Callithrix jacchus: one gene and its partners. The main gene of each other region encodes a partner of the protein of the gene in region 3 in a complex. Links are inferred from orthologs where the notes say so. Each region holds a gene or a part of one and is shown on either strand. Other genes may lie near its edges.

Region 1 (5,853 bases), on a different chromosome or scaffold from region 3:
TGAGAATCAAAACTTTCCTGACCTCTAAGCTTATAAGGATGATACCTGCAGTAAATGGCTTACAACAATTTATTTACTATAAATGGGGCTGAAAAAATTAGTGAAGAGCCCCACAGAGGTCTGGAATGCAGAAACCTTGCCCAGAATCCTTACTCTGTGATCACTTCAACCCTGGGCTGCAGCCTGATCTGAGTGTATGATACCATTGTTTCATGGGTCTCCTGCACCCTGCTTCCTTTAATGATGCTTTACAGTCTTCTCTGCCAGTCTCTATCCCCAAATCATTTCCAAACCAGTAATAGGACTGATGGCCTCTTTATTGAATGCAAAGCCACAGAACAAGGAGCCCGGAAAGGAGCGGGGGTAGGAGGGTGGCTGAGGAAAGCGGAACCCCAGCATCTGAGGGGAAGAGATGCAGCTTCTCTAAGTCTGGCAGGAAGGCTCGGGCGTCCTCCAGCGCTGCCTGAGCTGCCACGGTAAAGCTGGGATCCCCAGAAACTAAAACATCAAAGACACAGGAATGGAAGTACGCGTCTTCCACTGGAAGCCCTTCCTTGCACAGCCGTCTGGCAGTGTCAATGGTTAGAGCTCCCCGACGATTGCGCTCTGATCGAGAGAGTCGCTGACTTGGAGGGCACCCGTCAACACAGAGCTGCAGGTCCTGCTCAGCTGAGAAGGCCCTGGCCACATCCTCTGCTACCTTGATGGAGAAGGAGAGCTGCCCAGCTGTCTGCCGAATGATTATAGTTGTGCCGATATAGGCAGCTTGGATCTCCACGTGGTTCCCAGGGTTAGCAGTTTGAATCGACAAACTGGATCCCCCAGGTCGGTCACCTCCATTGACAGAACCGTCTTCAAAGGCTGCAGGAAGATTATCCACCTCTGCCTGGTAGACCTTCTGATCAATGCATTCCTGCATGTTCTTGAATATGATGGTGAGCTGAGGGCAAGAGGGAAAACGGTTCACTTGGTTCAGTGCATCCTCCCCCAGTCAGACCTCACACAGTAAGGGGTCTGATCCAGGTAGAGGTGAGGACTACTGTGGCCCAGTCCTTGATCCCTTCTCCTATTTACGTTCCAGTATTGCCTCATCCCGACTTAACTTCTCTCTCTACTTAATCTGGGCAACTTCCTAGGAGAGGGTAAAGTTTCCCTTCCGATGCGCTCTCCAGCTGTTTTCTGCATTTGAGTGAAATTCCCATCAAGGGGAAATGATTTACAGCTCCAAGTATTTGGTAGAAGGGAATGATTCAAGATGGGGGAGTGGTTGAGGAAGAAAAGGGAACTAGGGAGCACTGCTGTGGAATAGTGGGGATGGGGAGGAAGTGGTGCCCCTCGAAGAATCTCAGGAGGTGGATCAGAAGGGAGATTGAGTGCCTGACCTTCCGGATGGCGGTGGCGTTGGCCCCCAGCGCCACGGGGGAGCTGGTGGCTTGGACAAAGAGGAAGTCGTTATCCAGTAGAGGCCAAGCTCCTTGGACACGGCATGTGTGAAAGTGGTGGTGGAAGCTGCGCACATGGGGGTCCCCGAAGGAAGCACAATGCAGGAACCCCGGGGGACGGCCATGCAGCCGGGAAAACCGGCCTTCGTAGTCACAGGGGTCCGGGGCAGGGAGGCCGGAGCCGGCGCCTGGAAGGGCGGGGCCCCGGGGCGGGGGAGGGGCTGTAGGGCCCTGGCGCGAGCAGTTGTGCTGGATCATCAGGTCTTCGATGCCGTGGACCGCCGAGTGGAAGGCGAGGTCCCCGCGGCAGGTGCGGGCGGTGCGCCGCGTGCAGAGCGCGTAGGAGCGGAGGGCTCGACAGAGGCCGCCAGAGGCCGCCCCTCCACCCCGGCCTCCTCCTCCTCCTCCTGATGCACCCCCACCTCTAAGGCTCAGAGTGGACGATACATACTCAGCATTGCAGCGGAGGATCTTGCATTGAGAGTGAGCTAAAGACAGAAGGGAGAGGATTGTGAGACCGTCCTCAGACCTCTGCTCTATCATAACTCTTCCAAATCTCATCAGGGAATTCCAGCCTTCCTAAAACCCAACTAAGGGCCTTCCCCAGCCCCCAAACCCCAAATCCCTAGTTCTCTCGGCTGTCTTACTAAAAATGTGTAGGAATAAAAGGGAATCTCTTCTGCCTGTCGACCAAGGGCTTCCCCAGTGCCCTTCCCCAAACTGAATGGGACATAAAATATACCTATTTGAGAGCAGGGTGAGTGATCGGACTCTCAGCGCCCGCGTCTCCTCACTCACTCATGCTCACATGCCCACCCCTACATAGCAGCCTACCCTCTAGATTTCCCCAAACCCTTCCCTGGCCCTTCCTTACCGTGTCCACAGAGGAGCAGCAGGAGAGTGAGAGTGCTTAGAGCTGGGGGACTGCCATGTGGGGACCCGGCACTAGGGGACTGGCCTGGCTCCCCCATAACTATCCAGCCAGGTTCCCCGGGCGCCCGGTTCTTCCCAGCTGATGACCCTCCTACCTAGTGAATTTTGACCGGAAGTCCTGTAAGTGACTGAAAAAAGAAATTTGGCTGGACATGGAGAGAGAGAAGAGTTGAAGATTGGTCAGGACAATGTGAGGTGAATCTGGGGAGATAAAGAAAGGATGAGCAGACTGGAATTTGGGAGATTGGGGCTCCTCACACTGTAAGTGTGGCAGCTAAGCCTCTTTGCCCTGTTCCTGTGGCCACTTTTAGGGCCCTTGTGCAACAGCCTCAGGCGGGGGTGGAGGGAAGGTTGGGTGAACTCAGGGGGGCAGAGTCCACTGTGTTGCTCCATCCTGAGATACCAAACAGCAGCTATGTCAAAGACGGAGGAATCATGGGGATAGATAGGACGCCAGTAATCCCAGTGGGTACGCTAATCGAATCAGGACCTGAAAATACTTCAGAAATATACTTCTTATTTGTCCTTCTCCGTTAGGAGGAGATGCCTTCCAGGAGCCATACATTTCTTTTTCTTCTTTGTGTCAGAAGGACACAAGAAGGAGTGAGGGTGGCATACCCATTCCCTCCAGAATGTCAATATTCAAATGAAAAGGAACCAATCTCTTTCATCAGCTCTAGAGCACAGGAATTTTAATCCCCCCCTCATGGAATAATGGGATGCAAAGCAAACATGCAAATTAATATTTGTTTTTTCTAAGTCAACCGTTCTTGTATTTTCCCAAATTTCACTGAAGAACCTCTCTATTAATCTCTCCTTTTCAACTTCTGAAGTTCTGGGTCTTTTCATGAGAACAGGGGTTAGGGAGGAGCTAAATCCCTCCTGCCTAACTCCCCCGTCCTGTGCATTAGGATATGATTCAGGGGAGAGTCCTGCAAGAGGGAGAATAGAATGGAGGGACTAGAGTGTGGGGAGAAATCATTTACAAGGAGCAGCCCCCACCCTTGGAATCTCAATGCAAAGGGCATTGCTAAGTGGGGACAGGATAGAAGTGTGTCAGTGACTCATCATCCGAGGTCATTCTTGGCCCTGGTAAGAAAACTACAGGATCGAGGGTGTGGGGAACTCCTAAAACTTCATCAGAAGTCTTCAGGTAATAAGCAAAAGAGAGGGCTAAGACTGCCGGAGGAGAGACAGAGAATTACACTTCAAATGGCTAGAGGCCAGAGGCCAGAAAGAAATGAGACAGAAGGAGAAATGGTGATTGGGCACCTTGGTAGGAAGAGATCCCAGCATTTGGACAGGAGACATCCGAGTAGGTGTTTGTAATTTTATAACAGTCTAACTTCACTATAAAAGCTTATTAAAGGAATTGCAATTTCATTTTGACTTACTGTTTCTAGAGGTCAAACATTACTCTGCTATCCAGTTCTCCAGCCGTGATTGCCTACTCTGTGGGTCAGCTCCAGCCAGGGGATCCTCTGTCTCTTTCTCCATGTCTCCCCCAGGTCCCCCAGGCCGGCTGCTGTCTCACTGAGGTCAGGGAGCCAGAGAAGGTTTGGTGTTGGGGGAAGGGGGACTATATGGCTGGCCAGAGTGCTGGACAGCTGAGCAGGGTGGGAGGTGGCTACTGAGTTGCCGGTTTTAAAAATAGCTAAGTCCAAAATTCCAGGAACGTCGGTGGGGGTAGGGTGTGGGAGCGGGGAGGGTAGGAGAATTAGAAGGAATATGGAGTATTGGGTGCCAAGCTGGGGAGGGAAGAGAAAAATATGACAGACAAGTTGGATATCTGGTTCCAGCTTGTGTGACTCTAGTCACTGCCTACTCCAGGCCGCCCTCCAGCATTCTCAATAATGATGAGCTCCTGGCCTTTAAAAATTACAGTGGGCAAATGGATACCTTTCATTTACCATCTTCATCCCTGATATGATGAATATTACATTTAGTTTCTACAGATAGTATCTAGGAGGTAGCTGACTTTAAATAAGATCCATAGCAGAGGTAGTTCACAGCCTCTCCCCTTTCTTTGCAGAGTATTTCAGGAGGACAAAAAGAACCAGCTGTCCAGAGAAGAAATCGGAGCTGTGAGTTGCTTAGGATGAGGGCTTGTTCAGTCTATCTAGCTCAGATCGTTGCAGCTGTCTATCCTCCTACCTACTCCATTTTCATTACTTCCGTTTGTACAGCAATTCCTCTTCCCTCTCCCTCATCAATACACACAGAAATAAAAGCTCCTGAGTTGCTAGGAGAGAAGGCTAACAAAGGCAAAGAGGTGAAGAAAAAATGGAAAGAGAATTTTTAGAAGGGGAGAAAGAGTTGGAGAAACAGAAAAAGATTCAAAAAGATTTTCTTTCTGTTTCCCTCCCTCCCTCCTTCTATCCCTCCCTTCCTCCCTTCCTTCTTTCCTTCCTTCCTCTCTTTCTATGGTGTCTGTCTGTCTCACTATGTTGACCAGCCTGGTCTTGAACTCCTGGCCTCAATCAATCCTTCCGTCTTGGCCTCCCAGAGTGATGGGATTACACGTGTAAACCACCATGCCTAGTCTCTGAAACATACTTTTGTGGAATAACATAATCTTGTGACTTTAAAATACTGCAAAATCCCAACACTTTGGGAGGCTGAGGCAGGAGAGTCGCTTGAGCCCAAGAGTTTGAGGCTGCAGTGAGCTATGGTAGCACCACTGCATTCCAGCCTGGGCAACAGAGTGAGGCCTCCTGCCTTAAAAAAAAAATAAGCAAAAAAAAAAAAAAAAGATATTGCAACCAAGGGATTTGGCCATGTCATGTTTTTGCAGCCATAGGCATATCTGAGATCATCAATCTTTTAGTACTTGCCAAATGGAATGTAAAAAGGACCAATTCCAAATAGTGTCACTGTATTAGGGTTCAGTCGAGGGACAGAACTAATAGGATCTCTCTCTATCTCTATCTCCATCTCTGTATCTCTATCATCTATCTAATCTATCTATCTATCTATCTATCTATCAATCAATCAATCATCTATCTATCTAGATAGTTTGCTATAGATGTCTATATCTATCTATATCTAGATAGATATAGACATATATAAAGGGGAGTTTATTAAGTATTAATTTACATGATCTCGAGGTCCCCAGTAGGCTGTCTGCAAGCTTGAGGAGCAAGGAGAGCCAGTCTCAGTCTCAAAACAGAAAGACATGGAGTCTGATGTTAGAGGGCAAGAAGTGGACAGCACGGGAGCAAGATGTAGGCTGGGAGGCCAGGCCAGTCTCTCCTTTCATTTTTCTGCCTGCTTTTTATTCTAGCTGCGCTGGCAGCATCTTATATTGTGCTCACCCAGATTAAGGGTGTATCTGCCTTTCCTACCCACTGACTCAAATGTTAATCTCTTGGCAACGCCCTCATGGACACACTCAGAATCAATACTGTGTATCCTCCAATCCCATCAAGTTGACACTCAGTATCAACTGTCACAGTCACTAAGGCATCTTTACCAGTTG
Region 2 (5,212 bases), on a different chromosome or scaffold from region 3:
TGAGCCTAGGAGTTTGAGATCAACCTGGGCAACACAGCGAGACCCCATCTCTGCAAAAAATAAAAACATTAGATGAGTGTGATAGCGCATGCCTGTAGTTCTAGCTACTCGGGAAGCTGAGGTGGGAGGATTCCTTAAACCCATGAGGTTGAGGTTGCAATTGAGGTTGCAATGAGTTATGATCACTATACTGCATTCCAGCCTGGGCAACTGCATGAGACACCGTCTCAAAAAGCAAACAAACAAAAAGATATCAAGAATTATGTATAGGATTAGGAGAATGCAATTTTTTGTAGAAAGAACAAACCCCCAACTATATATTTATGTAACTAAAAATGAGCATGTGTACATTTTTAGAATTCCATTATCTTGAATACAAATAGGGAAATGTCTTTTGGAGATCAAAATACTTTCGAAACAGTAGGGCAAAGAACCACTCACCTGTTGAATTTAACAGCAAGGCCCAGGTCAGCAATACAGCAACTCCCATTTTTCTTGATGAGGATGTTTTTGCTCTTCAGGTCTCGATGAGCAATTGCAGGCTTTCCTTGGGTACCATAAATTTCTGTGTGCAGGTGGCACAGACCACAAGCAGCTGAATAAGCCAATTTGAGCAGGGCTCTGGTGTCCAGTGTAGCACATTTCAGGAAGTCATAGAGAGACCCATTTTCATGGTAATCAGTAATCAAATAGAGCTGAGTCCAGGAACCTGTACCTTTAATGTCTGCTGCTATGAAACCTGTCCAGTTGATGAGTTTAAAAGGTTAGTTAACATCAGAGATGGCCAGGGAAAAGTAATGCTCATTCTGGATACTGAGAACTACTTAGGTATCATGTGCAGATAATGAAACTTTAATTTGCCTGACATCAAGTCATAAATATGTCACTAAAAAATTTTATTTCTACAATTTACACATATAATTGTACTTCTATAATAAATTTATAAATCTTAATAATCATGAAAATGATAATATGACTAGAAAAAGATCACATATTCTGGGCATGGTGGTTCATGCCTGTAATCGCAGCACTTTGGGAGACTGAGGCAGGGAGATCACTTGAGGTCAGGAGTTCAAGACCAGCCTGGCCAACATGGTGAAACCCCGTCTCTACTAAAAATACAAAAAATTAGCTGGGCATGGTGGCGCATGCCTATAATCCCAGCTACTCAGGAGGCTGAGGCAGGAGAATTGCCTGAACCCAGGAGGCGGAGGCTGCAGTGAGCAGAGATCGCACCATTGCACTCCAGCCTGGGTAACAAGAGCAAAACTCCATCTCAAAAAAAAAAAAAAAAAAAAAAAAAAAATTAGCTGGGTGTGATGGCATGTGCCTGAAGTCCCAACTACTCAGGAGGCTGAGGCAGGAGAATCACTTGAACCCCGGAGGAGAAGGTTACAGTGAGCTGAGACAGAGCCATTGCACTCCATCCTGGGCAACAGCGCAAGACTCGATCTCAAAAAAAAAAAAAAAAAAAAAATCACATATACAAATAACCTGGAAAATATCATCAATCTACATGATTCTCTAGTGGAAAAGGCTCTCAATTTCAAAGCAAAAAGTGGACACTTAAATAAAGTTAAGAATGTTCAACCAAGAGTTAGCTCCTAATTAAGCCAATTCCCATTTGCCCATCAGTGACTCATCGCAGCTGCCTTTTCAGTCTGGCTCATTGACTGCCAGGTCCACGGTCCTGCTCTCTTTTCCTTTCTCTCCTACCCTCTTCCCTCCAGAAAAAGGTCAGTTAGTGCTATGCCCTGAGCTGAGCTGAATAGTGCTCCCCAACAAAATTCATGTCTAAAATCCATGTTACCTATAAATATAACCTTATTTGGAAAGAGGGTCTTTGCAGATGTAATCAAGTTAAGATGACCCATACAGAATAAGGGTGAGCCCGAATTCAGTGGCTGGTGATGTTATAAGGTGGAAATATGGACCCAGGCACCCAGGGAAGGCCACCTGATGACAGAAATGGAGACTGGAGTATTGTCTATAATCAGCCAAGGAACACCAAAAATTCCTGGCAACCACTGGTAGCCAGAAGAGGCAAGGAAGTTTCCACCCTAGAGTCCTCAGAGACAGAATGGCTCTGCCAACACCTTGGTTTTAAACTTCTAGCCTCGAAAACTGTGAGTTTTGGTTGCTGAAACCACCCAGTGTGTGGTTAATTGATAGAGCAGCTCTAGGAAACTAATACAGTTGCCTGCTTGGCAATGTGCTATGCACTCTCCAAATTAAAGGTAGGAAAACAGGAGACGAAGGGAAAAGAAAACTCAGGATAGCCAGATCGGTTTATGCATCTGACCAATCAGCTCATACCTACATTACTTTGCTACTGTGTAAATACGGAGGCTGGTGGGGGGAACACACATTAAACACAGAACATACAACGAAGCAGCATGTTGGGCTGTTGAGGTTACGAAAGGCAAAAGGCATATATGTTAATGTTACCCTAGACCACTGCTTAAATTATCTATAAAAGACTGGGTTTTCATTACTATGGGAGTAATCCAATAAACTAGTATTATTTTCCATTTGAAACTCACTGCTCTTTCTTCAGCTGGTTAGTAAAGAAAGTGCTTGGTTGGAATTCCGGACTGTGTTGTATTTAAATCGTGTATTCTGTCGGGCTTCCTTTAGCCAAATGTATATAGCTGAGCTCACACATGTTTTCAAAGCACATATGGAGGCTTCCACCTGCATCCCACTAGCCTTGTCAAACATGAAATTGACTGAATCAGTGTGTACCTACCAAGTATGTTTTCATGGCGCATTAGCACAGTTTGGTAGATTTCTGTTTCTCGAAACCAGCTGGCTTCTTCAGTGGTAAAAAATACTTTGACAGCCACTTTTTCGCCACGCCATTTACCCATCCATACCTCTCCATATCGGCCTTTACCAACTTGCCGGACCATCTGAATCTGTTTGGCAATAGTTCGCTGAACCTTTAAAGAGAAAAGTAACATGTTTGAGCTCTTGATGAACGAAACCCTTTAAGACTGGCAATGGGGTAGTTCATCTCATCAAAAAGCACGGTGTACCCAACCAACTCCAATTAAAAACTTAGAAGGTACTTTTTTTTTTTTTACATGGAGTCTTACTCTACCACCCAGTCTGGAGTGTAGTGGCGCAATCTTGGCTCACTGCAACCTTCACCTTCTGGGTTCAATTGATTCTTCTGCCTCAGCCTCCCAAGTAGCTGGGATTACAGGAACCCACCACCATGCGTGGCTAACTTTTTTTGTATTTTTAGTAGAGATGGGGTTTTGCCATGTTGGCCAGGCTGGTCTTGAACTCATGACCTCAGGTGATCTGCCCACCTCGGCCTCCTAAAGTGCTGGGATTACAGGCATGAGCCACTGTGCCTGGCCATAATGTACTTTAAAGCATGAAACAATGTACTGTGATATTATAAACAGGTTATTCAATGTGGCTGGCTGCAAAAATGGTGATAATAATTCCCTTCCCCTCCCACTGCATACAGCCATGGGTAGTCTTGGCCCACAGACTCAGAGCTTAGGCCACATAACTTGCTTTGGATAATAGAATAGCAAACGTGATGCAAGAAAAGACCTGACAAATGTTTGTGCACTGGAGCTTGCACTTTCCTGCTGCTTTGGGAACCGTGACCAATGAATAATGGCAGCATGAACTGCTGGCCATGCATGTAAACTGTACCACCTAGCTCTAGCTGAACAAATCTAACAAGTGGACTCCCCTGCAGACTCACAGACTCATGAGAAATAATTTTTGTTGCTTCAAGGCACTAAGTTTGGGGTAGTTTGTTATGCAGCAAGTCCAAATGACGGTTAAAAGATCTTAAAAATTCGGCCGGGCGTAGTGGCTCACACCTGTAATCCAAGCACTTTGGAGGCAAAGGCAGGCGGATCATCTGAGGTCGGGAGTTCAAGACCAGCCTGACCAACATGGTGAAACCCTGTCTTTATAAAAATAAAATTAAAAAAAAGAACTTAAAAATTCCATTTCTAAGACTCCACATGATCTGGCCTGTCCCTATTATTTCCTGTGACCACCTACCCGTAAACCTCTTGTTTGACTTATCTCAACTTTCAGAATTCACTCAAGCTTATTCCTGTCTCCGTGTCTTTTTGAATGTCCAGTTCCTATTTAGAGTGCTATTTTCTCACTTAAATACCTTCAAAGCACACACAACCTCTCAGTTGCTCCACTTAACACGATCATAACTTTATTCTTATTTACATATGTATTTGCTTGAATTCCATCCCCTGCTCACAGAATATAGGTATTTATTTGGGACAATATCAGAAGTACTTTAATATTTGTTAACTACAAGATGTACACGGACTGTTATCTTTCATTTTCGGAAGCATTAGTGATCATTCTAAATTAAAAAGAACGCTATATTCCAAGTTGGAAATGCTTCTAAAATAAACTAAATTTTGTGCAAACCTAAACTGACTTCATGTATCATTTATTATAGAATCCTTTTGAGAAAGAGTCTCGCTCTGCTGCCCAGGCTGAAGTGCAGAGGCACAATCTCAGCTCACAGTAACCTCTGCCTCCCAGGTTCAAGTGATTTCCTGCCTCAGCCTCCCGAGCAGCTGGGATTACAGGCATATGCCACCAAGCCTGGCTTATTTTTGTATTTTTAGTAGAGATGGGGTTTCACCATATGACCAGGCTGGTCTCACACTCCTGACCTCAAGTGATCTACCCGCCTCGGCCTGTAAGTTTTTTTTTTAAGTCAAGATTATTAGGTATAATTTATATAAAATGTACACTTTTTGAGAAAAGTACAAGCCTTAGTACAACAAATCTATATCATGTAATCACCAACACCACAAATAAAATACAGAACATTTTAATCATATAAAAAAATTCTCACTTTTTGGCGAGGTGCGGTAGCTCACGCCTGTAATCTCAGCACTTTGAGAGGCCAAGGTGGGTGGATCACCTGAGGCCAGGAGTTTGAAAGCAGCCTGGCCAACATGGCAAAACCCCGTCTCTACTAAAAAATTACGAAAATAAGCCAGGCGTGGTGGCACACGCCTGTAATCCCAGCTACTCGTGAGGCGAAGGCAGGAGAATCACTTTTGTGTAGCCTTTTGTGTCTGGCTTCTTTCATGTAGCATAAAATTCTTTTGAAATACACCCACTGCTGCTGCTACATGTGTTGGGAGTTGTTCCTTTTTACTGATGAGTAGTATTTCACTGTATGAATGTACCAGCATCT
Region 3 (5,973 bases):
ACTGGTGGAGTGGGCATTAAAATTACTCCCGTTGACTGGGCACAGTGGCTCACATCTGTAATCCCAGCACTTTGGGAGACTGAGGTGGGTGGACTGCTTGAGCTCAGGAGTTGAAACCAACCTGCAAAACATGGTGATGCCATGTCTCTACAAAAAAATACAAAACTTAGCTGGGCATGGTGGCAAGCACATGTAGTCCCAGCTACTCAGGAGGCTGAGGTGGGAGGATTGCCTGAGCCCAGGGAGGTTGAGGCTACAGTGAGCTGTGAACATGCTACTGCACTCCGGCCTGGGCAACACAGTGAGACCCTAGCTCAAAAAAAATTAAGCATTTTTCCAAAGGAGAATCCCAAGGTTCAGAAAAGTTAGATGACTTGCTCAAGGTCACCCAGCTAGGAAAAATCAGACTTGGAACTCTAGCCTAGGGCTTTTTTTTTTTTTTTTTTTTGACACGGATTCTTGCTCTGTCGCTCAGGCTAAAGTGCAGTGGCACAATCTCAGCTCACTGCAACCTCTGGTTCAAGTGAGTCTCCTGTTTCAGCCTCCCAAGTAGCTGGGATTACAGGCGCCTGCCATGATGATGGTCTATTTGTATTTTTAACAGAGGCAGCGTTTCACCATGTTGGCCAGGCTGGTCTTGAACCCCTGACCTCAGATGATCTGCCCGCCTCAGCCTTCCAAAGTGCTGGGATTACAGGCGTGAGCCACCACCTGGAGTTTTTTTATACCCAGTTCTCAGCTGTATCCACCTTCCCTTAAAGGAGACCTTAGTGTCATTTTACAGATGAGGCACAGAGATAGGGAGTGACTTATCTAAGGTCACAAAGCGAGTTAATGATAAAGCTGGCCCACACTGACATACACCCCAATTTTCCCGGCTTCCCAGTATAAGGATTTTGTTGCCTATGTGTCTTACCCTCCTGAGTGTGTGAGTGTGTGACAGTGGTGTGTGTGTGTGAGATTGAGTTCATGTATGAGTATGAAGAGTATATATGATTGGGCTTGTGTGACTATTTGAAGGGCACATAGATGTATAGTGTGTATGATCGATCTTGTGTGTGTATGTAAGAAGGTGTGTGTGCACATGCATACATGTGTGATTCAGTATGCGTGTACATGTGTGATTCAGCACAAGAGTATAAACATAAGACTGTGTGTGTGTGTGTGTGTGTGTGAGAAGCTCAGTAGTATCTCCGAATCAGCATGCTGTCCTTCCTAAATACCAATTTGGCATTGGGGAACTTTCATATAGTACTCTAGAAGGTGACTAATTAGGCCTTTAAACTCCCCATCTCCCCCTCTCCACGCTCCCTTAGTGCTAGGGGGCACAAGGACTTATTTTATGAGCCCCCAAGGGGTCACAGCTTTCCCTGGCTGGGCAGACAGCCAGGCCACCTCCCCCACCTCAGCCAGACCTGCTGCCTCTGTGCCTCCCCCGCCCCCTGGCAGCCCCCTCCAGGCCAGCTCTAATGAGGAGCCTCTCCCACCCTCTGACCCCTCCCCCACACTGCCAGCCTAGGACTTGGAACCAGAGCAAATGAGCTGCACGCATCTTAAGCGACCAACAGCCCACCTCCCTCTTCACACTAGAAAGAAACTGAGGCTCTAAGAGGGGGAGGGACTTGCTTAAATACCACAGCAAGTGGAGAGGAAAAGCTGGGACAGTAACACTAAATGGGTGGAGAGAGACAGGGGAGCAGGTATTCTCCCAGGTTAATGAGGAGAACGAGGCATGTTCAGGACAGGAACTAAAGTTTTTGTGTTGGAAGGGATCTCAGAAACCACCCTGTCCAACCCCCGTAGGTGTACAGATGGGAAAACAGAGACCCCAAGTGAGAAGGGGCTTTCCCAAGGTCACACTGTGAGGCAGACCCTAGGCTACTCCCTCCCCTTGTATGCAAACGTCATTCCATGACCACAAGATGCCCCGTTTTCTGCGTGCACCTATCTCGCCTCCGTGCACCTATCTCGCCTCCCTGCACCTATCTGGCCTCCGTGCACCTATCTCGCCTCCTTTATCCCCTTGCCTGAGGGCAAAGCTGCGGAACCATGGGGAGCTCAAGATTCATTTCTTTCTCTGCCATCTGAGACCACCTCCAAACCCCTGGAGCCTGGAAAGTTGGGCCAATCCAGCAGGTACAGATGCACAGCTGGGTAATCAAGTCTTGGGATCTGGTCTCCAACTCTGCCATCAACTGGCAGGTCTTGTCTCCTCTCTGGCTTTACTGCCCGCCCTGCACCTTGCAGGCATCGGACCTGGTGAGTCCTAGGTGACCTCCAGCGCTGATGTGCAGGCAGCCTGGGATCCGCTATGCGTCCGTGTCCCCAGACACCCACCCCAGGCCAGATGCACACAGCGTCTCCCACCAGGGCTGTGCCAGGGCTCTGAAAGCCCCTCCATTCATGCAGATGCCCCTCCCTCTGAGCCGTGCCCCTGCCACCCCGCCCCCTCACCTTGCCCTTTGTCAATAAAGCTGGTGATGGTGTTGGCCAGGCCAGCCTCCAACTTCACGCTGCTGTTGGCTCCCTTTCTGTCAGCATCGGACAGCGTCCTGTACAGCGAGAGCATGTACTCGTGGGGTGTGACGGGGGGCGGGCGGAATGGCTCCTTAGGCTCTCGAGGGGACCCCGGCTCCCTGGCCTTCTTCAGCAGGAAGGAGCTGGGGACAGATCCTGCCTTTGGGGGTGGCTTGCCCCCGGGAAGCTGTCCTTTTGGGGTCACAGTCCGTGCTGTAGCCTGCCTTGTTTGGGAAGGGTGGCCTGGCTTGGGTTCAGGGCCGCCCAGTTTGGGGGGCAGCTTTTTGGGTTCATCCTTCTTGGGCTGTGTCAGGCCTCCTGTCTGCCCGGTGCCTCCCTTTGCCCTGGCATTGGCGTTGGTGGACCCCCCACCATAGCCGTGACCCCCTGGCCTGAAGACGTTCCGGGCCAGAGGGGGCCTCTCCTTGGCCTCTGCTTTGGCCAATCCGGGCCTGGCCCCCTGGGGTCTCTGGCCCAAGTCAGGGGCACCCAACACAGTGCAGAGGAATTCCAGGTCCAGCCAAGCCAGGTACCAAAGCAAGAAAGTGAGGACTTTGGGGAGTCTCATCCTCTGGCCAGCCGCTGAATGACACCACAGAGAACAGCGGCAGCAGCGAAGGTGCCTCTGCTTTGGCAGGAGAAACCATGAAAGGAGTGGACTTCCACAAGCAGCGGCAGCAGCAGTAGCGGCAGAAGGAAAGGCTTTCTCCTGAGTCCGAGACTCCTGAAGTCTGCCGGGCGTGTGTCTGTATCCAGTCCCATAGTGGAAACGCTCTCTATCCAGACGTGCACCGTCTCCAGTCAGCAGCTGAAAATAACTCGTTCTTGAAAGGAGAAAGCCGACCGCCCCCTTTCTCCTGCACAACTGACTGAGGGCTTGAAGGAGGCTTGGATAAGGCTGAGGGATTTTTCCAAGAAGGAAGAATGGCGTAATACTGCCTGTGTGCTCCAGTTTTTTTCCCCTAGTTTTGAATCCTTTCCAGTGAAAATACTTCACACACACACATACACACACACACACACACACACACACGCCTGCAGGTGCTCAGAAAAATCTTTTACAAACCTGAGCTCAGGAATTGGAAACGGAATTCCAACCCAAACCAATTTAATTACTCTCTGATGTCATGCTGTCTAAACTCATTTGAGTGCGATATATTTATGTGAAAAAAATCACCGCTGCCCTTTCGAGGCTATGGCTCACGGGGGCTCTTGGCACAGAGCCCCGCAGTGGGACTCTAGGCTTAGGGGGCCTCCCCCTCCACGGAGCAGACTCAGGGGTCTTCACCTCCACCTCGTGGAGCAGCCCACCCCACCTTCCTGAGGAGAGATGCTGAAGAATGAGCTCAAAGATCTTAAGCCCCAGAAGCATGGGGAGTGTGGGTTTGTAGTTAAGTCCTTAGAGGGTTTTTAAAGCAGTTTCAACTCCTGCGTCTAGTCTGGGACTTGAGGTGTGTGTGTGTGTGTGTGTGTGTGTGTGTGTGTGTGTGTGTGTTATGTGTGTCTGTGGGTGTGTGTGCCTGTTTGTGTGTATTAGTAGTGGGGACAGCACAGATGGCAGCATTTACCCACAGTTTCTTTTATTTTAATAAACTTGTGGTGACCCAGAGACTGAAAAATATCAGTGCCAGCTATACCCGCTCCCTACTTCCAAATGCCATTGACTGAGTGCATATTCTTCAGGCTTGAGGGCACTGCCACCCTTGAGCCACTGCTTGGATGGTGGCAGGTCCAGGGTGCACCCCACCACCACCCCAGCAAAGACGTCCTCAATAGTTTTTAGAATAGACTGGCTGAGTCTGGGGCAGCAGCGGCCCCTACAGGAGGCTGGAAAAGCGATTTCCCACACAAGGCTTTTCTGGTAGCTGGGGAAGGTCTGAATTCCAGCTGAATTCCTGGGTTTCTTAAAGTGCCTCATGGAAGTATGGAAGCTCCCTTGCTCTTAGGAACCTGCGCCATAGAGCCCCTGAGCAACTTACCACAGTGGGGAAAGCTGTTCGCTTCACCTGAAATATCCTCCTCTCTCTCTCCCACAACTGGAGGAAGCACTCCACATCCTGAGAAGTTTAGCTGAAAATTCACCTCCTTTGGGAAACATTTCCTGATCCCCAGACAGAGCCAATTACTCCCTCTGCACATTTCATTACAATAACACTGGCCATGCTGTGAGAAGGATGACAGGGGAGAAGCAATAGTCAGGTAGGCTTCCTTCTTTTTTTTCTTTTTTTCTTTTTTTTTTTCCGAAATGGAATCTTGCTCTGTCTCCCAGCTGGAGTACAGTGGTGCGATCTTGTCTCACTGTAACCTCCGCCTCCTGGGTTCAAATGACTCTCCTGCCTCAGCCTCCAGAGCAGCTGGGCCTACAGGTGTGCACCACCATGCCCATCTAATTTTTGCATTTTTAGTAGAGACCGAGTTTCACCACATTAGCCAGCCTGGTCTCGAACTCCTGACCTCAAGTGGTCCACCCACTTTGGCCTCGCAAAGTGCTGGAATTACAGGTCTCTCTACTAAAAATACGAAAAGGTAGCCAGTCAGGGAGGCAAAGTTTGCAGTGAGCTGAGATCGCTCCACTGCACTCCAGCCTGGTCGACAGAGCTAGAGTCCATCACACACACAAAATAAATACTTTTTTTCTTGAGACAGAGTTTCACTCTTGTTGCCTAGGCTAGAGTGCAATGGCACGATCTTGGCTCACTGCAACCTCTGCCTCCCAGGTTCAAGGGATTCTCCTGCCTCAGCCTCCCCAGTAGCTGGGACTACAGGAGTGCCCTACCACGCCCAGCTAATTTTGTATTTTTAGTAGAGATGGGGTTTCACCATGTTGGTCAGGCTGGTCTCGAATCCCTGACCTCAGGTGATCCGCCTGCCTCGACCTCCCAAAGTGCTAGGATTACAGGTGTGCACCACTGTGCCCAGCCAATAAATAATATTGATAAAATAAAAAATTTAAAAACATAGACTTGTTCCCACTGCACCAGTCCTCTCTGGCATCCCTCCCACACCCGATCCTCATTGCCACCATCACTGCTCTGTCCTCCTCACTGCTTGTCCTGCTACACAATTCTCCCCTGTAACTGGCTTCTAGGCCTCCAGGCTCTCTCTGGTTCTACTCTCCCTCTACTAAAAGCTACCCATCAGACAAGTGCTAACCCACGTGCCACCTCCTCCATGAAGCCTTCTTGCATCCCCCAGAAAATGCATACCCCCCTGAGCTGCCATGACACATTTTCTGTGCTCCTTTTACATTTTTTGGCAGCTGAAAGTTTATTCAGTCTCTGCCTCTGCCCGTGACGCCAACACAGTTCATTTCTTCCACTCTGTATTTTTTCATATTTTAAAATCATAGCTTAATTCCTCATAACTATAATAATTTCTTTACATACCTGTCTCTCCCCTTAGATTATGACTAAACTGTACCATATTTATCTTTCAATTATACGCAGTGCTTGGCAT
Region 4 (4,860 bases), on a different chromosome or scaffold from region 3:
TTGGAGCAGCTTTTTGGTTTTAAATTTGTGTCATCTCACATAAAATCTAGACTCAATAACCCTGATCCTGTCATATCTAGAGGCACATCTCAGAAGGATAAGGGAAAAAAATATATCTCTGATCCCTGAGTAGATAAAGAGGCATGTTGGCTGGGCGTGGTGGCTCACATCTGTAATCCTAGCACTTTAGGAGACTGAGGCGGGTGGATTCACGAGGTCAAGAGTTCGAGATCAGCCTGACCAACATGGAGAAATCCCATCTCTACTAAAAATACAAAAATTAGCCAGGCATGGTGGCGCATGCTTGTAATCCCAGCTACTTGGGAGGCTGAGGCAGGAAAATTGCTTGAACCCAAGAAGCAGAGGTTGCAGTGAGTTGAGATTACACCACTGCACTCCAGCCTGGGTGACAGAGCAAGATTCCATCTCAGAGAGAAAAAAAAGATAAAGAGGCATGTCAGCATATTGTCAAAATTCCTCTATACTCCTGGCAACAGAGGCTGGAAAATAGATCATTGTTCCTAATTCTGGTATTTATTTGTGTTAGGCTTTATTCCCTTCATAAGATAGCAACAGTGCTGCTTCTCTAATAGGGTATTGCTTGTCATCAGGTAACATTCAGAGTATCCCATGAGATCAGATTTTTATAATAGCACCAGCACCAAAATAATGCCAAAGTCATTAGCTAAATTTCTTTATAAGCAAGTTGGTATTCCAGACATCTTATTTGCAGGCATAAACTAACCCCAGCCAGTTCTCTGCAAATGGGTACTGTTGATCAGAAGAGGAATTAAATGAGAAAATAACATACAAATTACAGAAGCATATTTAAGAGCATTTATTAGTGAGGATAGGGCATATAATAATTTTAGAATGTAAAGAGCATGTGACTTTTATAAAGTCTGATATTTTTTGACAAAAGGCACCAAATAATTTTGTGACTTTTATAAAGTCTGATATTTTTTGACAAAAGGCATCATGGAAGCATAAAGCACTTATAAACGTTGCAATTATTTCTTAAACTATGAGGTGAATTATATATAAATAGTATAATTTGTACTCTTACTTGACTATTAGTTGTGCCTTCCATTATATTCCTACCTTTATAAAACAGTGTGAACTTAGGACATTAATAATAAAAGCAGAATAGCTTCTGTTAAATTGCAGTGTAAGAATTCTTACTTCCTTTTAGGTTAAAGTATTTTAAAACAAATGCTAGATTTTGGAAAACATTAGAAGCATATGGAATGCAATAATAATATGTTTTGCTATCATTATCTCCATTATTAAAATATAAATAACATAATCGATATTAAATAAAAATTCATAAATTTTTCTTAAAGATTGTTTAACTTTATGAAACAATTAGCAAGAAGCTAATTCCTGGAAACTCCAGCTGTCTTTAAGACACAACTACAGTTTTTTTTCTGTGACATCTTTCCTGGGCACCTCTTCCCTCAGATATAGTTAACCTCTTCATATTGCTGCTCCTGCATTTGCAGGTTTTTTTTTTTGACATAGAGTTCACTCTTATTGCCCAGGCTGGAGGACAGTGGCGTGATATCGGCTCACTGCACCCTCCACCTCCCTGCCTCAGCCTTCCTAGTAGCTGGGGTAATGGGCGCCCACCACCATGCCCAGCTAATTTTCTGTATTTTTAGTAGAGACAGGGTTTCGCCATGTTGGCCAGGCTGGTTGCGAACTGCTGGCTTCAGGTGATCCACCTGCCTCGGCCTCCCAAAGTGTTGGAATTACACAGGCTTGAGCCACCACGCCCAGCCTGCATTTGCAGTTCTATTTATTGTCTGTTTTTAACTTACAGATCTATCATTTTCTACTTAGTTCTGCGTATTCTCTGATTACTCTTTGAGTTCATAATGGATATCCCATAGTAGATATCAAGTAGTTGTTGAATAAATAAATGAATTGAATTTCTTATGTACTGATCACTTGGAGATACTCATGCTTCCACCTCCCACTTACTGCCAGCCCTCTAGTCTGCGTGACATGGTGCTGCGATGCCCCTGCTCCAGTTTCCTCTTCAATCAGGTCCCATCCAATGGTGGTTCCATCATCTCTTGATATCAACCACCCATTATAGTTGGGCTGCCTCCACTCTGTGGGTATAGTATGCATACTATACCCATCTCCATATGACTTTTATTTTGTTACTTAGTAGCTCTGTTTTTCATTCTTTCTAATGCAAATCCAGTTTATTCCATTAAGCCTTCCTTTACTATTCAGACTCCTGGTGCTTTATTAGTTCCATAATAGCTTTGAAAAAATAATTTAGCCTTTGATCATATACGCTCTGTTAATGGTATTTATTATCCTTTATTTATTTCATGTACCCTGTCCTCCTAACTAGTCATACAGAGTTAACCACCAGGAGAACTAAAAATTGAAGTAATCAAAAGTGGTTGTCTTACTGGAAAGCAGACTAGGAATTGCTATTAAGAAGAAGTTTTCTTTGAGACAGTCTCACTCTGTTGCCCAGGCTAGAGTGCAGTGGCACGATCTTGGCTCACTGTAGCCTCTGTCTCCAGGTTCCAGTGATTCTCCTGCCTCAGCCTCCTGAGTAGCTGGAATTACAGGTGTGCACTGCCATGCCTGGCTAATTTTTATGTTTTTAGTAGAGATGGGGTTTCTCCTTGTTGGCCAGGTTGGTCTCAAACTCCTGACCTCAAGTGATCCACCCATCTCAGCCTCCCAAAGTACGGGGATTACAGTTGTGAGCCACCGAGCCCAGCCTAAGAAGAAGATTTTTAAATAGCTGGTACTTATTTGTGCCAAGGATTGCTAATCACTTTGCATCATTTGAATTGTTTAAGTTTATTTTATGTTATTGTAAATTCTCAGTATAACTTTAGAACAGCATTTTTCACATTTCTTTTGGCTTGCAAATTCTCTTTTTATAGAAAATCTTATCAGAAATGTCCAGTTTAGGGCAGACGTGGTGGCCCATGCCTGTAATCCCAACACTTCGGGAGACGAAGGCAGGTGGATCACAGAGGCAGGCTGGAGTTCGAGACCAGCCTGGCCAACATGGCAAAACCCCATCTCTACTAAAAATACAAAAATTGTCTGGGTGTGGTGGCACACATCTGTAGTCCCAGCTACTCAGGAGGCTGAGGCAGAGAATTGCTTGAACTTGGGAGGCAGAGGCTGCAGAGAACCAAGATCATACCACTGCACTCCAGGCTGGGCGACAGAGCAAGACTCCATCTTAAATAAATAAATAAAGCTCAATTTAAAAACACAACTGTATAACGTAGCGCATATTTTTTAAGCCCAGTAATCTAACCTTTAGATCAAAGCCTGAAATCTAATAAAAGAAGCTAAGGAAGCCCTTTGCCTTCTTCAGATGGAGTAGGAGAATATGACTTCCTTCTCAACATAATTAATAAATGAAGATCTTTTTTCCTGTATCTCACCTTTGTCATGTGCAGACCAACAATAACTAAGATAAATAACTGTTAATATTCAGCAAGGTATTAAAGCATTTTTTTTTCTTCTTTCTTGCCCTGAAATCTTAAATTTTTGTTTTTCAGAACACATGTGTACTGTGGTTTATTTTGATGACTGCATGTCCATACATCAGTGTAAAATATCCTGCGAGTCCATGGGAGCATCCAAATATCGCTGGTTTCATAATGCCTGCTGTGAGTGCATTGGTCCAGAATGTATTGACTATGGTAGTAAAACTGTCAAATGTATGAACTGCATGTTTTAAAGAACAAAGAGAAATGCAAACCAAAGCAACTTAGTAAAATAAAAGGTATAAAGTTATTCAGTAAGTCTGTTGTTTGCATTAGAATACCAGTAAGTTAAGATATAAAAACTTTGAAATAAGTTTATTTTGAAATATGACATAGCCAGTGATGTGTTTAATTATATTACTGTTCTTACTGATTTTATTGCCCCTAGCAAGAAGCCCTTTCCTTTGAATACATGTACAACTTTGGTCACATGAGAAGCAGGTGCACAGAGAATTCCTTGAAAGATCTAGGGTTCTTAACATGAAGCCTGATGTGGTTTTCTTGTAGCATTCCAAAGGTTTTTGCTTTGAAAGTGTTCGCAGAAGTATGTTGATGTGAGTTATGATTTCTTCATGTGCTACTCTTAGGATACTGAATTTTTATAGTTGCACTTCATTCCTCACTGTTCCTTGTATTATCGGTTTTTATATAAATAGAGTAGATATTCGATATACCACTCTGATAACTCACATAAAAAACTCAATTTCAGCCCTTTTATGTTGATTTTAAAAGGTAAATGCTTGCCATATTTTATAATTACAAACTCTTACATAGTAGAATCCTTTCGATAATAGATGCAATGACAAAGCTTTAAGGAAAGTTTCCCATTCTCTTCCATTTCCCCTGCCCAAAGTGCTAACATAGGCAGTGATGAAGAATTTTTACCAAGATTTTTAGGGTACACCTATGAAATTGCATTAAATGCACTACTAAGGTAAATAATTAGCAAGCAAAAGCATTTCTGTGACTTAAGGTACCAGCTTAAAGAGCACTAGGTTAGGGAACAAATGCCAAATCAGACTCCACTTAGAGCACCGGGAAATAGCTTGTATCCTGGTAGGGAAATGGTATAGCTGAATCGGGAGGCTGAGCCGGAAGCAAGATTAAGCTTGTGCAGCCTTAGCCAAGACAGAGCAGGGTTTTCCAGCAGATGAGTGGTGGGACAGGAACTGAAGAGAATTTAGTGGTATGAACAGGACAGGTTGAAAATGCTGGGAATTATAATAGGAAACAAACTTAAAACTATCTACATTCATATTTTGTAATCTTTCATTTGTTTAGTTTATATCTGGATGTAATGTTCTCTTTAAACAAGTATAAT
Region 5 (5,673 bases), on a different chromosome or scaffold from region 3:
GAGGGCCCGGTGCCCCGCCCACTTAGTGTAATTCGAGTTCCGGGTCCATCGACTGCAAGTTCTCTCTCCTACGCCGCAACCTTCCTCGTGCTTTCTTTCCTCTCCGGTCTACACTCTTCCGCAATTTACTGTTTCCTTGCGCCCAATAGAAATGGGCGACCGCCACTCACTCTTGCCGGCATTACAAAGGTATCGGCCTTTGACCTCTCCTTGAATTATTGTGATCGGACTTTTTTCTTTTTTCTTTTTTTTAATTTAATCACTCCTCCCCGCCCTGGCCCTGCCAGCTTCAGCTCCACCTCCTTGGAGGAAGCCGGCGCTTTTACCGAGCGCCGCGCGGCAGGTCACCTTTCAGCCAATCACATCTGCGGAACCGCGTTCCGAGCAGCTTGCGGGAGTCTAGTAAAGTAAGCTCGGGCGGTGTTGGAAATCTGAATGTCACCCGCGGTCCGGGGCAGATAGGACGGGCTGGGAAGGTACCTGAGAACTCCCGGAGTAATTCGCTGGCAGCTGCGCGAGGCTCAGGTGTTCTAGTTTTTTTTATATTTCCCTTCCTGAAAGCCGCAAAAGAGAGGTCTAAGAGTGGGCAGACTTCAACGTTCTGTTACAGTGTAATTAATGAGAGTGGTGCGTTTTTATGCAGTGTAACTATGCCATGATTTGTTGTTGCTCAGTGGCTTTTCCACAAATTTCTACAGATTTATTCAGTTTTCCATAAATTTCTACAGATTAATTCAATGTCAGGTCACTTTCTCCTTTTATGATCGGATGGGTCCAAAAGTGAAGAAAAAGACAATTGTCTGCACAGAAAGAGGCTGCCAAGTGGAGACAAAAGCAGTTGTGAGATTGATGAGAGTCCAATTTGTTATCAGTAGGTGTGAAGTGATATCTAATCTCAAGAATGACCTCAAGGCTGAGAGACACTTGATACTGCCCTAGGCCTTAGCTGTTCCCCAAACAGCACGGCTGCCATTTAAAATCCACTAACACCCAAATCGTTGCTGGCAACTCTACCCGCTACATTACTCAGAATCTCTAATTTAATTAGGAATTTCATATCAACCACGGACATGTTGATATTCCATACATGTTTAAATGTACTAATCAATGGACTAGGATAATTGAGGGGCAAACCTCCTGTCTCACCAGCTCACTCAGACACACTGTGAATTGCTCAAACCACTAGATCCCTAATCAAGGATGCCTATCTGTTTTTACTGTAACTTTTCATTACTTACTTATTACATACTATGATGACTCAAGGGGTAAACACACCTTTCACTATCCACGATATAATCCAAGCCTTGTGTGTATCCATAATATGCTTAATAATAGCTTCACAGTTGCCTGGAGAAATGACTTTTGGGGAGGAAGATACATGACATTTTCAGATAATGCCGTGGACTAAATATTATTAGAGCAAAAATTTACCATCTTGCAATTGCTTCATATAATTAATGAGATATAATTCATGATATACTAAGAAGTATCTTTAAAAAGTAATGAAATATAATACTGATTTTCAAAGTATTTGGCTAACAAAGACTAAAATGTTTTTTTCCTCTTAACCCAAGGCCCTATAAAAGAAGCATCTCACCGTATTGACCGTATTACAAAACATACAACCAATAGTTAAGGATCAAAAATTTCAGTTTGGTTTGGGTCTTTCCGATTGTGACTTTATATGATTTTTTTTTCACTCCCCTCCCCCCATATCCTGTTCTGTAAGTACACGAGTGCTCTAGATTTCCTTATCAATAGAGGGCGTCCTCGAGTCATTGCAAATACTGGTGGTGTGAAACAACTGTTCTGAGGAAAAACTTCATTGTCTCTAAGGTGCTTTATTGCTCCTCTATTGTAAAATTTGACAAGCTCGAGATTTATAAGCCTAACAATTCACTTTTTATTGCTGCATAAGTGTTCAGACGCTAGAGGAAAATGCTAATTTTCACAATTAAACCACATGGTGATTCCTATTTTCAAGACATAAGTCAGTTGACAACTCGCGGGTAAATTGGTACTGTTAGAAAGATCAGAAATCGGCTTGGAAAGCAAGAGCATAGTGCATGGTCGCTTATAGCACTGCCATTCAAGCCGGTGAGCTGCAAGTTACAAAGGATTTTAGATTCTACAAAGAAAAATCGGAGAGGGTGCTAAAACACAAACATAAAATCAATGACTTATAAAAGTTTTATGTTTTAATCAGATAAAAAGAATGAAGTGACTGATGACTTGTGTAACTCACACATCCACCATGTTTCTTGCCACTGGTGCACTTTCTCCCTTCCTCTTTGTTTTCAGGAAGGAAAGAGAAAGAGGAGACCTGAACAGTACATTCAGGGGAGTGGACAGAATTAAAACACATGCCAGAAACACTAATGGATTCTAAACAATATGCGGTTTCATTTCCTGAACCTATACGTGATGTTTTAACTGTTTTCTAGTTAATATGTCTCCATTTCCAGAAATCTAACAGGAGGATCTCTGCCTGCTTAGCAGATCACCTAGGTTTCCATATGTGCAATCCATTCTAGAGTAAGGGCTCCCTGGCTGCTCCTCCGTCTACTATGTATACAAAGCAGCGGCTGAAATAGCTTGGAGTCCGACAGCGCAGCGTCAAGCAGCTCGTGGTTTGTACTTACATCATTTTTTTTTTTTAAAAAGCAGGAGTGAAAGTTTATTAAAAAGCTTTAGAATAGTAAGGAAAGAAAGGAAGGAAAGGAAAGGAGAGAAAAGAAGGAAAGTACAACTTGGAAGAGGGCCAAGCGGGCGACTTGAGAAACCAAGTGCCTGTACTTACATCATTCTTAACCCTTCCGCTCCTGGAGAGGGATCAGGGAGCCCCCGGACTTCGGAACACGCAGGACCTGGGCGTGAGAGAAGAATCCCAGAGCTTGGTGTGAGCAATGCACCCCCGGAGGGAGCGAGCCTGGGGCCTGTGAGGGGCTCATCACCCACTCGTACGCAACGGGCCCCCGCAATCCCTGCGGGCTCGGCTCCTGCTCTCACCGCTCAAAACGGCAGGTGCAAAAAGCATTTGGGAGCCTCTTGCCAGCGCGCGGAGGTAATGCGCTTCCTGTCCATTTATCTCAGGAAACCAGTGCAGCCTTCCCTTCGAAACAAAATTAACCTCTCATTAGCCAGCCACTCGCTCCTAAGAAGGCCTTAAAAGCTTTACCAGCTCGCTAATGTATTTAGGCTTTTCTTGCAGGCAAACGCAGCCGCCGGTCTTGACTGCCATCAGCTCAAGGGGTTCCTCTGGGCTCTCCTGCGAGCCAACAGCCGACCTCTCTGCAGCCTAGTCTGGGCAACTTCAGCCAACTCAGGATCCTATTTTGTAGTCCGGGGCAGACCCGACACCCCTGAAAGAACTCCACGCCAGAAGAAGCCAGAACAAGTTCCCACGAATTTCATGAGCGCCCTTCACATTAAACCCTCAGCTTCCCTGTCCTCAAGAGAACAGGAAAGGGCGCTGGGGAGGGACTTCGGCGGCCAGCTGTCCCTGGGTCGTGGGCGCTGATTGCTCTGCGGAGCACCAGCCCTGCACACAGCGGGTGCGGGAAGCGTTGATGGGGGGCTGGAGGGTGGGGGAGCGAAACTAGGATCTAGCTGGTTCCAGGCGTGGAGAATCAAATGTGGTCTTAGATCTGTAAGTGGCGAAAAGGGGCTTTTGGGAACGTCAGGGCTTTCTCACCCCGGCCCCCCGCCGCCCGGAGGCTGGCAGATTTATACCACACAGGTGGATGGAGACCTAAACAAAACAGTCCCGGCTGCTGCCTGCCGCTCGCCCCCCACGTCCCCCGGGCCCACCGCAAACTTCAGCAAAATAAACAACTCACCACAGGCATTCCCTTGTCTGCAGCACGGCGCTTGCCAGCTGGGAAAATAAGCCGCAAGCCACGCGGCCGAGGCGCGGAGGGAAGGCAGCGCGGCGCCCGCCCCTCTCCCCCAGGTGGGGGCAGCGGGACTCGGGGCTGGAGGGAGGCTCCGCCTCGGGGGCCGCACTCCCAGCTCTCCGACTCCGGAATGAGCTCTCGGAGAGGAGCTGCGCCCTTCCAGCTAGCGCGATTTCTCCGCCACCTAGGCGAGAGGGCGGGGAGCCCAATCCCCACCAGCTTCCTCCAGGCTGCTTTCTCCCTACTTTAGCCTCAAATAGAGGCTAAAGGAGACCCCCACCCCCGAGCAACTCCTCTATCGCCACACTGCCCCCTGCCGGCGTTACCCGGCTCCTTCCTGCACAGCCTACAGCTGGGGGCGTAGGGGCGCCCCAGACCTCCGCGTCCAGTTCCCGGCCCAGTTCTCTCTTTGCCTTCCCCCCACCACACTCAGTCTTGCACAAAGACGCCTTTCACGCAGCCAGCGCCACCCTCCGCGCCGTCCTCCGGGCCAGCGGCGCTGCGTTCGCCCACCCGCGGCACCGACCGATTCCTGGTGGGCGACTGTGCGCGTCGTCGCGGGGCAGGCGGCAGCGGACGCTTGCGGGCTGTTCCCAGTCCGCACCTCTGCCAAGGCGCCAGATGCGCTGCCCCCGCCCGCCACATTCTCTAGCTTCCCGCCAGCAGCCGCAGAATGCACCCCGTTCTCTCCGTAAATGATCCTTGAGGGTCTTCCTAGTGTGTCTAAATATGGGGACAGTGGCAGGAACGATCCTCCGGACTTTCACCGAAAGAAGAAATCCAGCGACCTTCCCTGACCACCTAAGGTGCCAGTGTGTCTTTACAGCTTAAGAGAGCCAAAGATAAAAGATTTGGGAATAAAGAGGGAAGAGAGGGTTTAAAGGGACACCTAAGACCTAGAGCAAGTGTGTTGCAAAGAACGAGCCCATGAAATGTTAGAGGGAGGACGGTCGCTTCGATCAGTGTAGAAGTCGTGGAGGGCAAGAAAGCGATTAACTTTCTACCTTAGATTAATCTTCCAAAGTAGAGGGGGAAAAAAGCATCCTAGATACTCAGCGGCAGCTAATAGGCGCGTTCAACCCTTGGAACGAGCGGGCTGCTTCTCTTAGTCAAGTCAAATGCTTAAACATCTTCACTCAGGGAGGTCGTTTCTTGCCTCCTTAGGCAGGAATCTATGACCCTCTCCAGTTTTTGCCTTCTCCTCCCACAGCCCCTCCTTATAGTTTCTTGGGCTAACGCTAGAGGCAGCATAGGGCAGTGTAAAGAGGGCGAATGGGAATCCACAGAAACACAGAAGAGGGTCTAGGCCTGAGTTTCTGGGTCTGGGTCTTAGGCAACTGATTTAACGTCTTTGGACCCTCGTGTCACTATCAAGAAAGGATGTGTAAAGGGCAATAATTAGTAAAATTTACATATTCTTCTGTTTCTTAAATTCAGTGATAATGACTGCCCTTCCTCCAACCCGCTGCAGGTTCCTCCTTAGTGTTTTTTCACTTTGCTTTATCTTCTCCAAGTGCCAAACTGAAAAAAAAAAAAAATACTGAGATTGTTTCAAGGTAAATGTAAGATATATTGAAACATACTCTTCTGCATCTGAGAATTAAGAAGAAGAAGAAAAAACCCAACTCAGCTTCTGTTTCACAGAGCAAGGAATTTTAATGTCCCCACACCCTTTGCTTTTGAAAAGCCACTCCAGCAGTCAGCAAAGCACAGCTTTGATTTAGAAACTAAAGGCTAGTCTCTTGTGTTTTTCTTTTCCCTTCCACCAACACAAAGA

The links.
Region 1: the proteins of GDF5 (region 3) and HJV are in contact, whole or in part, in a crystal structure (PDB 6Z3L), measured with the Homo sapiens proteins. The link is inferred for Callithrix jacchus from reciprocal best matches to the Homo sapiens genes GDF5 and HJV. Residues at the interface, in NP_000548.2 of Homo sapiens: Met412, Trp414, Trp417, Phe478, Asp480, Ser481, Lys488, Tyr490, Met493; in NP_001366281.1 of Homo sapiens: Arg95, Arg98, Gly99, Leu101, His104, Ser105, His108.
Region 2: the proteins of GDF5 (region 3) and BMPR1A are in contact, whole or in part, in a crystal structure (PDB 3QB4), measured with the Homo sapiens proteins. The link is inferred for Callithrix jacchus from reciprocal best matches to the Homo sapiens genes GDF5 and BMPR1A. Residues at the interface, in NP_000548.2 of Homo sapiens: Arg399, Phe435, Pro436, Leu437, Ser439, His440, Glu442, Pro443, Asn445, Val448, Ile449, Leu452, Ser455, Met456, Pro458; in NP_001393490.1 of Homo sapiens: Gly65, His66, Cys67, Pro68, Ile77, Thr78, Phe83, Ile85, Glu87, Cys100, Met101, Lys102, Glu104, Gly105, Phe108, Gln109, Asp112, Ser113, Lys115, Ala116, Gln117, Arg120, Ile122.
Region 4: the proteins of GDF5 (region 3) and TWSG1 are in contact, whole or in part, in a crystal structure (PDB 8BWL), measured with the Homo sapiens proteins. The link is inferred for Callithrix jacchus from reciprocal best matches to the Homo sapiens genes GDF5 and TWSG1. Residues at the interface, in NP_000548.2 of Homo sapiens: Glu434, Phe435, Pro436, Ser439, His440, Glu442, Asn445, Val448, Ile449, Leu452, Ser455; in NP_065699.1 of Homo sapiens: Cys26, Lys28, Cys31, Ala32, Ser33, Val35, Ser36, Leu39, Ile40, Cys44, Gln45, Cys46, Arg47, Cys73, Val74.
Region 5: the proteins of GDF5 (region 3) and RGMB are in contact, whole or in part, in a crystal structure (PDB 6Z3J), measured with the Homo sapiens proteins. The link is inferred for Callithrix jacchus from reciprocal best matches to the Homo sapiens genes GDF5 and RGMB. Residues at the interface, in NP_000548.2 of Homo sapiens: Leu396, Arg399, Phe435, Pro436, Leu437, Arg438, Ser439, Asn445, Val448, Ile449, Leu452, Ser455, Met456; in NP_001353437.1 of Homo sapiens: Gln57, Thr60, Phe63, Val64, Thr67, Ser68, Leu70, Asn71, Tyr88, Leu103, Val104, Ser107, Ala108, Leu110, Gly111, Ile112, Asp114, Leu115, Gln118.

The regions. Positions count from the first base shown.
Region 1 is NC_133519.1:8,456,837-8,462,689, forward strand, and holds HJV (hemojuvelin), read right to left. Parts: upstream 3,932-5,853; 5' UTR 3,770-3,931; intron 3,529-3,769; exon of another isoform or gene 3,452-3,528; intron 2,522-3,451; 5' UTR 2,414-2,521; coding exon 2,317-2,413; intron 1,931-2,316; coding exon 1,383-1,930; intron 941-1,382; coding exon 317-940; 3' UTR 300-316; downstream 1-299. UniProt on the Homo sapiens protein: Acts as a bone morphogenetic protein (BMP) coreceptor. Through enhancement of BMP signaling regulates hepcidin (HAMP) expression and regulates iron homeostasis.
Region 2 is NC_133513.1:42,411,474-42,416,685, reverse strand, and holds part of BMPR1A (bone morphogenetic protein receptor type-1A), read right to left. Parts: intron 2,943-5,212; coding exon 2,750-2,942; intron 740-2,749; coding exon 442-739; intron 1-441. UniProt on the Homo sapiens protein: On ligand binding, forms a receptor complex consisting of two type II and two type I transmembrane serine/threonine kinases.
Region 3 is NC_133506.1:3,867,530-3,873,502, reverse strand, and holds the start of GDF5 (growth/differentiation factor 5), read right to left. Parts: upstream 3,389-5,973; 5' UTR 3,086-3,388; coding exon 2,455-3,085; intron 1-2,454. UniProt on the Homo sapiens protein: Growth factor involved in bone and cartilage formation. During cartilage development regulates differentiation of chondrogenic tissue through two pathways.
Region 4 is NC_133514.1:53,558,377-53,563,236, reverse strand, and holds part of TWSG1 (twisted gastrulation protein homolog 1), read left to right. Parts: intron 1-3,551; coding exon 3,552-3,733; 3' UTR 3,734-4,860. UniProt on the Homo sapiens protein: May be involved in dorsoventral axis formation. Seems to antagonize BMP signaling by forming ternary complexes with CHRD and BMPs, thereby preventing BMPs from binding to their receptors.
Region 5 is NC_133503.1:111,969,623-111,975,295, forward strand, and holds the start of RGMB (repulsive guidance molecule B), read right to left. Parts: upstream 4,029-5,673; 5' UTR 3,840-4,028; intron 2,868-3,839; 5' UTR 2,806-2,867; coding exon 2,801-2,805; intron 1-2,800. UniProt on the Homo sapiens protein: Member of the repulsive guidance molecule (RGM) family that contributes to the patterning of the developing nervous system. Acts as a bone morphogenetic protein (BMP) coreceptor that potentiates BMP signaling. Promotes neuronal adhesion.